Saccharomyces cerevisiae S288C: one gene and its partners. Changing the gene in region 3 together with the main gene of any one other region gives a genetic interaction. Each region holds a gene or a part of one and is shown on either strand. Other genes may lie near its edges.

The links. Genes that interact genetically often act in the same process or in processes that back each other up.
Region 1: of RAD51 (region 3) and RAD55, a mutation in one rescues a mutant of the other (synthetic rescue), as found in Saccharomyces cerevisiae (9 studies listed by BioGRID, with this or other methods).
Region 2: mutations in RAD51 (region 3) and PPH3 together harm fitness more than expected from each alone (negative genetic interaction), as found in Saccharomyces cerevisiae (6 studies listed by BioGRID, with this or other methods).

The regions. Positions count from the first base shown.
Region 1 is NC_001136.10:596,888-600,188, forward strand, and holds RAD55 (putative DNA-dependent ATPase RAD55), read left to right. Parts: upstream 1-1,580; coding exon 1,581-2,801; downstream 2,802-3,301. Other genes in the region: phosphoprotein phosphatase PP4 catalytic subunit PPH3, read left to right, coding at 269-1,195. UniProt on the Saccharomyces cerevisiae protein: Required for radiation resistance and meiotic viability and presumably acts in recombination and recombinational DNA repair pathways.
Region 2 is NC_001136.10:595,394-598,582, forward strand, and holds PPH3 (phosphoprotein phosphatase PP4 catalytic subunit PPH3), read left to right. Parts: upstream 1-1,762; coding exon 1,763-2,689; downstream 2,690-3,189. Other genes in the region: trehalose-phosphatase TPS2, read left to right, coding at 1-1,190; putative DNA-dependent ATPase RAD55, read left to right, coding at 3,075-3,189. UniProt on the Saccharomyces cerevisiae protein: Forms the histone H2A phosphatase complex in association with the regulatory subunits PSY2 and PSY4, which dephosphorylates H2AS128ph (gamma-H2A) that has been displaced from sites of DNA lesions in the double-stranded DNA break repair process.
Region 3 is NC_001137.3:347,832-352,282, forward strand, and holds RAD51 (recombinase RAD51), read left to right. Parts: upstream 1-2,148; coding exon 2,149-3,351; downstream 3,352-4,451. Other genes in the region: AIM11 (Aim11p), read right to left, coding at 81-370, 446-569; PUP3 (proteasome core particle subunit beta 3), read right to left, coding at 898-1,515; SHC1 (Shc1p), read left to right, coding at 3,867-4,451. UniProt on the Saccharomyces cerevisiae protein: Required both for recombination and for the repair of DNA damage caused by X-rays. Its function may be modulated by interaction with other repair proteins. RAD52 interacts directly with RAD51, via its C-terminus.

The sequences.
Region 1 (3,301 bases), on a different chromosome or scaffold from region 3:
ATGTCCGGCGGGAAGAAAAAAAATCGATGAATTAATTGAAAAAAAGTATCTTTATCATGTGAACTGAGGAGAAGAACGGCATCTCGAAAAGAGCACGTCGAAACAGCGGTAGGTAAAAGAGGGTACTACCAGAGGTCTTTTCTCTTTATACGTTAACCTCTCAGCTTTTTCTTTTGCAATTCAGGACACTTTAACTTGTAGTCACACGCTAGTCCACGTAGCAAAGTAAAACAGCACGAAAAAAGTGATTACAAATTTCAAGGGAGATATGATGGACTTAGATAAGATTATAGCATCACTGAGAGACGGAAAACATATTCCTGAAGAAACCGTTTTTAGGCTATGTTTAAATTCACAGGAACTATTAATGAATGAAGGCAATGTAACACAAGTCGATACACCGGTTACAATATGCGGTGATATACATGGCCAATTACACGATCTACTAACGCTCTTCGAAAAGAGTGGTGGTGTAGAGAAAACAAGGTATATTTTCTTGGGCGATTTTGTGGATAGGGGATTTTACTCATTGGAGAGTTTTTTACTTTTACTATGTTACAAATTAAGATATCCTGATAGGATTACTTTAATTAGAGGCAATCACGAAACCCGGCAAATTACTAAAGTATACGGATTTTACGATGAAGTAGTAAGAAAATATGGTAATAGTAACGTATGGAGGTACTGCTGTGAAGTTTTTGATTATTTATCATTGGGGGCAATAATAAACAATAGCATATTCTGTGTTCATGGTGGATTATCTCCGGATATGACCACGGTTGATGAAATACGAACAATAGACAGGAAACAAGAAGTTCCACATGAAGGTGCTATGTGTGACTTATTATGGAGCGACCCCGAAGACGTTGACACATGGTCATTATCACCAAGAGGTGCTGGATTTCTTTTCGGTAAAAGAGAAGTTGATCAATTCTTAGAGAAAAACAACGTTGAGTTAATTGCTAGAGCTCATCAGTTAGTGATGGAAGGTTACAAAGAAATGTTCGACGGTGGATTAGTGACAGTCTGGTCGGCACCGAATTACTGTTATCGTTGTGGTAATGTAGCAGCTGTATTGAAGATAGACGACGATTTGAATCGTGAATATACAATTTTTGAAGCTGTTCAGGCACAAAATGAAGTCGGAAATGCTATAATTCCAACCAAAAAATCTCAAATGGACTATTTCTTATAAATTTTTAACAGGCACTCTAATTGTCAAGTGCATTTTTCTTTTTTTCTTCATAATGCAATAAAGGAAAAAAAATTGTAATATTACATACTTCTTTTCACATCTTAGCTAATTAACAATATGGCTTTTGAATACTAATATATACCCAGCTACCGTTTCTTCTTTTATTTTTTATTCCTTTTTTTCTTCAGTAGAATATGTTATAGATGCGGAGGTCCCCTAAGTTCTTCACGTGTTCTCTTCTCATCGCGTTTGATATGAAAAATAGAAAAAAATACATAGTAGCATGACTAACTAATAATAAGCTCCGCTATCAAAGATGTCAAGTACATTAAGGAAAGCTTTTAGATAAGGAAAAGAACTTATTAATAATATATAATATGAAAATATGTCGCTTGGTATACCACTTTCCCAATTAATAGTAGAAAGTCCAAAGCCATTAAGTAGCGGCATCACAGGATTAGATGAGATATTAAACCTGGGATTCCAGGCAAGGTCGATCTACGAAATATTTGGGCCTCCGGGCATTGGCAAGACTAATTTTGGCATTCAATTGGTGTGTAATTCGTTAGAAGGCATACAACAATCGGAAATAAACGACGATAAAATTCTATGGATAGAAACATTTCAAGAAATGCCCATAAACATACTAAGAGAACGCTTTCAAAAATTTAAAATCGTGGAAGAAAATGTGAAGCGGGTCCGAATAACGAAATTTGGACAGCTATTATATTTCTTCCAGAATTTGTTCAAATTATCTCAAAGTGTGCGATATAAACTAGTTATAATTGATGGATTTTCTCAATTAGTCTGCGATCATCTGTGTACACTAAGTAAAAGAGGCGGCGGAATGATAGATAAAACTATACACGAGTTAAAATGTCGACATTTGATATTAATTTTTACGGTAATGACCAAATACACACATTCCACGGGTTCGACAATAATAGTTTTAAATGACTGTATGAACACCGCCTTCCAATCAAACGAATTCGAATCCTTGGAAGAATACTACGAAATTTTAGACGACGGATCTAACTTCTTTGTCAACTCTAACAACGAAAGGCGTAAGAACAATGTACATATATTGAAAAGCGCGCTCGTTGCCAATATCGCTATGGGAAGCAAGGATTCCACTTGGGAAGTATTTCTAAGAGACAGGATCGGCCTTTTTAGGGATTGGAATGAACAAGTGGACGAAACCGTTTTCGTGAAAAGCAAAAGAGTGAAGGCGTCATCCTCGCAGAGTAACGAGGGATGTACTACCATCAAAGAAATGAGAATAAACAAACGAAACTTTGAAAACTTGAGAATAGCTATTGTTTTTAATTTACACGGCGAAGATAGAAAAAGAGAAGGACGAAATTTAAAGCGGTCAAGAAGCAGCGACGATCGTAACTATATTGTCAAATTTGATTTTGATAAAGCAACAGGTCAACTCCGCGATATAATTGATCTGAAACCTGATACTGCTAATATTGCCTCATTTCCAACATTATCAACAAGCAGCAGCAGTTGCTCACAAGTGTTTAACAATATTGACTCCAATGATAATCCATTACCAAATGCGGAGGGAAAGGAGGAGATAATTTATGATAGTGAAGGTTAATAGTAAAATAAAAAAACCGAAAACCGAAAACAATAAAAAATGGAAAAACGACAACATTCCACCCAACAACTACAAAGAAAAGTTAAGGGTAATTTTACCTATTTAGGATTTTAATCTGTTGGAGTTAAGGTGAATACGTTTTTCCATATTGGGGTATGCAGCTCGAACCTAAAGTGGTATGTACACATCCCCTCAAGCACACCCATTACCCTTATAGGATTAATGTAAGCAACAGCTTACACGGAATTGGAAATACTATTCAACGATCCATGCATCTGCCAGATTCGGACATGCATATTCCCCAATTGGATATAGAAAATTAACGTAAGGCAGTATCTTTTCACAATGTACTTGCAACGCGGCGACTTAAAGTTGAAGTACAACCTGCAGCAGCGGCTTTTTGTACGGTACGCCAAACTGTCAATGGATAATATTGCGTAGACCGAAAAAGGTAATCCTCAACACTACCCGTGGTGGATGACCTAAAGCAGTAATATTGG
Region 2 (3,189 bases), on a different chromosome or scaffold from region 3:
AATCTATTAACATGGCTTTGAAATTGGACAAGGAAGAAAAGTCCAATTTAGAATCAAAATTATGGAAAGAAGTTCCTACAATTCAAGATTGGACTAATAAGTTTTTGAGTTCATTAAAGGAACAGGCGTCATCTAATGATGATATGGAAAGGAAAATGACTCCAGCACTTAATAGACCTGTTCTTTTAGAAAATTACAAGCAGGCTAAGCGTAGATTGTTCCTTTTTGATTACGATGGTACTTTGACCCCAATTGTCAAAGACCCAGCTGCAGCTATTCCATCGGCAAGACTTTATACAATTCTACAAAAATTATGTGCTGATCCTCATAATCAAATCTGGATTATTTCTGGTCGTGACCAGAAGTTTTTGAACAAGTGGTTAGGCGGTAAACTTCCTCAACTGGGTCTAAGTGCGGAGCATGGATGTTTCATGAAAGATGTTTCTTGCCAAGATTGGGTCAATTTGACCGAAAAAGTTGATATGTCTTGGCAAGTACGCGTCAATGAAGTGATGGAAGAATTTACCACAAGGACCCCAGGTTCATTCATCGAAAGAAAGAAAGTCGCTCTAACTTGGCATTATAGACGTACCGTTCCAGAATTGGGTGAATTCCACGCCAAAGAACTGAAAGAAAAATTGTTATCATTTACTGATGACTTTGATTTAGAGGTCATGGATGGTAAAGCAAACATTGAAGTTCGTCCAAGATTCGTCAACAAAGGTGAAATAGTCAAGAGACTAGTCTGGCATCAACATGGCAAACCACAGGACATGTTGAAGGGAATCAGTGAAAAACTACCTAAGGATGAAATGCCTGATTTTGTATTATGTTTGGGTGATGACTTCACTGACGAAGACATGTTTAGACAGTTGAATACCATTGAAACTTGTTGGAAAGAAAAATATCCTGACCAAAAAAATCAATGGGGCAACTACGGATTCTATCCTGTCACTGTGGGATCTGCATCCAAGAAAACTGTCGCAAAGGCTCATTTAACCGATCCTCAGCAAGTCCTGGAGACTTTAGGTTTACTTGTTGGTGATGTCTCTCTCTTCCAAAGTGCTGGTACGGTCGACCTGGATTCCAGAGGTCATGTCAAGAATAGTGAGAGCAGTTTGAAATCAAAGCTAGCATCTAAAGCTTATGTTATGAAAAGATCGGCTTCTTACACCGGCGCAAAGGTTTGAAACACCCTTTTTAACGAAATGGTTATGACTAGACAGACATCTTACGTCTTACTCCTTCATGCTTTATTTTTTTCTTTGTATTGTATTTGAACAGTCAATATGTGGTGTTGCGACGAAGGCATATATATAATAGTCTCAACCCACCATTTTCGAAGATTTACATACACATTATATTTTTATAAACTTCCAATATGTAATAACTTTATATGATATGTAACTTCTCACTATTATCCTTACTATTAAACGGTTTTTAATAAATATCATTGTTCTTTGTTTTATTAATGAGAAAAAGAAATTTAATACAATGTCCGGCGGGAAGAAAAAAAATCGATGAATTAATTGAAAAAAAGTATCTTTATCATGTGAACTGAGGAGAAGAACGGCATCTCGAAAAGAGCACGTCGAAACAGCGGTAGGTAAAAGAGGGTACTACCAGAGGTCTTTTCTCTTTATACGTTAACCTCTCAGCTTTTTCTTTTGCAATTCAGGACACTTTAACTTGTAGTCACACGCTAGTCCACGTAGCAAAGTAAAACAGCACGAAAAAAGTGATTACAAATTTCAAGGGAGATATGATGGACTTAGATAAGATTATAGCATCACTGAGAGACGGAAAACATATTCCTGAAGAAACCGTTTTTAGGCTATGTTTAAATTCACAGGAACTATTAATGAATGAAGGCAATGTAACACAAGTCGATACACCGGTTACAATATGCGGTGATATACATGGCCAATTACACGATCTACTAACGCTCTTCGAAAAGAGTGGTGGTGTAGAGAAAACAAGGTATATTTTCTTGGGCGATTTTGTGGATAGGGGATTTTACTCATTGGAGAGTTTTTTACTTTTACTATGTTACAAATTAAGATATCCTGATAGGATTACTTTAATTAGAGGCAATCACGAAACCCGGCAAATTACTAAAGTATACGGATTTTACGATGAAGTAGTAAGAAAATATGGTAATAGTAACGTATGGAGGTACTGCTGTGAAGTTTTTGATTATTTATCATTGGGGGCAATAATAAACAATAGCATATTCTGTGTTCATGGTGGATTATCTCCGGATATGACCACGGTTGATGAAATACGAACAATAGACAGGAAACAAGAAGTTCCACATGAAGGTGCTATGTGTGACTTATTATGGAGCGACCCCGAAGACGTTGACACATGGTCATTATCACCAAGAGGTGCTGGATTTCTTTTCGGTAAAAGAGAAGTTGATCAATTCTTAGAGAAAAACAACGTTGAGTTAATTGCTAGAGCTCATCAGTTAGTGATGGAAGGTTACAAAGAAATGTTCGACGGTGGATTAGTGACAGTCTGGTCGGCACCGAATTACTGTTATCGTTGTGGTAATGTAGCAGCTGTATTGAAGATAGACGACGATTTGAATCGTGAATATACAATTTTTGAAGCTGTTCAGGCACAAAATGAAGTCGGAAATGCTATAATTCCAACCAAAAAATCTCAAATGGACTATTTCTTATAAATTTTTAACAGGCACTCTAATTGTCAAGTGCATTTTTCTTTTTTTCTTCATAATGCAATAAAGGAAAAAAAATTGTAATATTACATACTTCTTTTCACATCTTAGCTAATTAACAATATGGCTTTTGAATACTAATATATACCCAGCTACCGTTTCTTCTTTTATTTTTTATTCCTTTTTTTCTTCAGTAGAATATGTTATAGATGCGGAGGTCCCCTAAGTTCTTCACGTGTTCTCTTCTCATCGCGTTTGATATGAAAAATAGAAAAAAATACATAGTAGCATGACTAACTAATAATAAGCTCCGCTATCAAAGATGTCAAGTACATTAAGGAAAGCTTTTAGATAAGGAAAAGAACTTATTAATAATATATAATATGAAAATATGTCGCTTGGTATACCACTTTCCCAATTAATAGTAGAAAGTCCAAAGCCATTAAGTAGCGGCATCACAGGATTAGATGAGATATTAAACCTGGGATTCCAGGCAAGGTCGATCT
Region 3 (4,451 bases):
ATACGATATGTGACCAGCCGGCAACGGCTCGTAGTTATACCATTATTTACAGTTTAAAGAGATTAAGCCAATGCGTAGTGCTACTTGTTGTTTTCGCTCGACAGGAGGTCTTGCAATTGCTTAGTTAGTTTGGAAGTTTCTTCGTCCATGCTCGTGTCGGTTTCTAAGGCTTGTGGAAGGCTCATGAACTCTCTAGTCTTAAATACAAACTCTCTTGCCGTTGAAATGTCAAGTGCCCAACAAAAGCCGAATATCAATGTGCTGAACGTACCTATTGAAGCGGCGGATGCATACGTTAACGCTGACATGGCTTCATTCCTTTGGGAAAAAGGTGGAAGCTTGTAATTTTGTTGAAATATGCTGGGGACGTCTGCTTTCAGTAGACGGTGTTAGTAACTATATCCTATTATTAGTTTTGGCCACTGAACTAGGACAAAATACATACATTTTCGTACTTTTATGGCCCTGGAGATAAGCCTCATGGTAATCAGGGTGAAGGCGGCCGCACCATAAAATCTGGCCATTTGAAGAACCCTGCGTTTCTTAAGTTCCTTCTTCTCTTCGATCATAGTTTCGTTTCTTGATGAAGTAGGATAGTCGTACTAATTGCTGACAAACCCGTCAAAGAATCAAGTTCCCCATCCTAATAAGTATTAAAAGCGCCAATTTTTCAAGAGACTCGCGGCTGGTGAATAACGCTGCTCCTTAGAAAAGGACAGCCAGCGGATAGCTACTCAGATCTTCGACTGACTTTATGCATTTTAGTATTTATATATTCATTCGATCTATTCTGTTTACTTAAAAATTAAAGATGAGTTGGATGTGGAAAATTCTTGACGTTCCGCTGATATTTTGTGTTGGGGTTGTTTTTGGGACCATGAGATTGCCATGAACCGATCAATCTTGTCTCATCTTCAAGTATCTCTTCACCACTTCATCCTTCTTGATGATGTATACTACAGCTCCCCAGCCTGATAGAGCGTCACGGTCAGCAGCATTCAGTAGGGCCTGACTTATAGTTTCGAAAAGATCTTCTGGCTCTAGATTAGGTTCGTACAGGGACTCACACATACCGAACAGTTGGTCGGATGCAGTACCGCTAACGATAAAATCCTTGGCCTCGTCGATACAGCCGATTAGGTCGAATCCCGCAATAAAGGGCTTCCCGGACTTGGAATTAATACCTGCTACCACCGGCCCCACAAAGTATGGACCGAATCTTCTTTCATAAAGTGAACTTGACACTAATTGGGTAAACGTTTCAGGCTCAATGGCCCTTTCTTCCTTCAACTTATATAGGTTCGTCTTGTAGCGGAACATCTCGTTCAGAGTAGTCACGTCGGTAGCCAGACCGGTAATCCCTAAGAACACATGCCCATAGTGGAAGATTTTTTCAAACTTGTTCGACACACCTAGTGACTGGCTTCCGAGACGCAAATCACAGGCAATGGCCACACAGTCTTTACCTGTCATCGCAACGACGATACCACCGTTAATAGAACTTGGATCCGACATTTTTTTTTTATGCTTTATTCACTGTTCAATATTTTCACCACAATTCGCAAGAAACGCACTCTACTTCGAAACTACGGTTCAAACTTACTTAGCAGCTTCCCGATTTAATTGGCCTTTCTACTATGCCATAAACTCTTTCTTCCTCTCTTTTCATCGCCCCTGCATTTGCACTTTTTTGCCACCGGCAGTGCCATCCGGTCACATGACTACACCACGTTAATAGCGATCTGGCTTATCATTGTCACAGAGTAAATTAAAATGGACGGTAAATGTTGGAAATGCACCACTACCGTTCTTCAACCAATCTAGTTTAGCTATCCTGCAACAGGTGGCCTTCTTGAGCATTCCCTGAGCATTCCAACCGGTTGTATCAGTGTTTTATCACCGTCTCACCATATCCCACGACTAGGCCACACTTCGTTACCCTATGCTACGCGTCATTTCCGCTATTTCTGTCCTGGTTTGTTTACAGTACGCGTGGTGGGACCATAAAGGGGAATAGTGGGGACTGGAGAAAAAATTTTCTCAGTTACTTCTTCTATCTTCCGTAGTTTCCATATACTAGTAGTTGAGTGTAGCGACAAAGAGCAGACGTAGTTATTTGTTAAAGGCCTACTAATTTGTTATCGTCATATGTCTCAAGTTCAAGAACAACATATATCAGAGTCACAGCTTCAGTACGGGAACGGTTCGTTGATGTCCACTGTACCAGCAGACCTTTCACAGTCAGTCGTTGATGGAAACGGCAACGGTAGCAGCGAAGATATTGAGGCCACCAACGGCTCCGGCGATGGTGGCGGATTGCAGGAGCAAGCGGAAGCGCAAGGTGAAATGGAGGATGAAGCATACGATGAAGCTGCCTTAGGTTCGTTTGTGCCAATAGAAAAACTGCAAGTGAACGGGATTACTATGGCGGATGTGAAAAAACTAAGGGAGAGTGGGCTTCACACTGCTGAAGCGGTAGCATATGCTCCCAGAAAGGATTTATTGGAAATCAAAGGTATATCGGAAGCTAAGGCAGATAAGTTGCTAAACGAAGCGGCAAGGCTAGTGCCTATGGGATTTGTCACGGCTGCTGATTTTCATATGAGAAGATCGGAGCTGATTTGTTTGACAACGGGTTCTAAGAATTTGGACACTCTTTTGGGTGGTGGTGTGGAAACTGGTTCTATTACTGAGCTTTTCGGTGAATTCAGGACAGGTAAGTCCCAGCTATGTCACACTTTGGCCGTGACATGCCAAATTCCATTGGATATTGGTGGCGGTGAAGGTAAGTGTTTGTATATCGATACCGAAGGTACTTTCAGGCCGGTAAGATTGGTATCCATAGCTCAGCGGTTCGGATTAGACCCGGATGATGCTTTGAACAACGTTGCGTATGCAAGAGCCTATAACGCCGATCATCAGTTAAGACTTCTGGATGCTGCTGCCCAAATGATGAGCGAGTCTCGGTTTTCCTTGATTGTGGTCGATTCTGTTATGGCTCTATACCGTACGGATTTTTCTGGTCGTGGTGAACTAAGCGCAAGGCAAATGCATTTAGCCAAATTTATGCGTGCTTTGCAAAGGCTGGCCGACCAATTTGGTGTTGCAGTCGTCGTTACTAACCAAGTGGTCGCCCAAGTTGATGGTGGTATGGCTTTTAATCCAGATCCAAAGAAGCCTATCGGTGGTAATATTATGGCACATTCTTCCACCACGCGATTAGGTTTCAAAAAGGGTAAGGGATGTCAAAGATTATGCAAAGTTGTTGACTCACCTTGCTTACCAGAGGCTGAATGTGTGTTCGCGATCTATGAAGATGGTGTTGGTGACCCCAGAGAAGAAGACGAGTAGGTATTTGGTCTCTTGTCTCTATTTATTTACACAGGTTTACTTTCAATTCTCCTCTTTTTCTTAGGTTGCGTTCCGTACATTTTTATCTTCATTTCCATCCACTGTCTTAGATTTTTGCATATATTTTGTCATATACCTCGCAACCCTACTGCGGTCTTAACCTTTTTTTTCAGTTCTTTTAAATAACTTTCGTATTGTCTGTCACCCATGAAATATATGTATTTTTCTACTCTTCTTCCCGATGACTACTTCCTCCTGCAGGGTCCGCGCGGCTTTATCCTTTTAGGGGAGTGAAGAGAAAAATTTTCTGATATGTCGCCATCCTCTTATAAAACCAACGTAAAATACCATACACTTCTTTATGGCAATGAATTTCCTTGTCTTCGTTTCGACGTTTTTAAATTGAATAAAAAATTGTACTTGGAAAAAAGAATAGAACAATACTTTTGCTAACAGCAAGAGAAGTACGGTTGACATTACGAGTATCCCTTTGTTAAAATCAGGCAGTACCCATAATGTCCATGACTATTTGCTCAAATACTCCTGGTGCATACCCTGAAATTGGAGCTTATAATGAGGTTGATAAACAGTTGGAATCAAGCGGATTCTCCTCTGATTCCTCTCTGATATTGAATAAACCAGAAGTTCGTCAATACTGGTCATCCGTTTCATCTCATATTTCACGCTCAGGTGATGTGTTTACAAATGATAAAGAAAAAATTTCATCCTCTATTGGTGAGGATGCGATGGATATCGACGCTTCGCCCTCATTGATTGAAAAATATAACTCTTTTCCCACAAGAAAGATTCTTCCTGAGCAGGACGAGTTTGAGAACGACGTTGAGGACGATGCTTCTTCCTCACTGAAGGAAAAATCACAAGGTTCTTGTGAAATTGAAATTGCTTCTGAAATTTCATCCGAAATTTTAAATGGCACATCGGCAGACGGTAATTCCGAGTTTCACGACTTCGCTGAGCCCCCTCCCTCTCAGAATGAATCTGTCGCTCTGTCTTTTAGTCAATCGAATGATTTGGACTTTTTGAATAATCCAAGCGGATCAGGCTCTTCAAACGATATCAATAGAAGTACAAGTTCCATT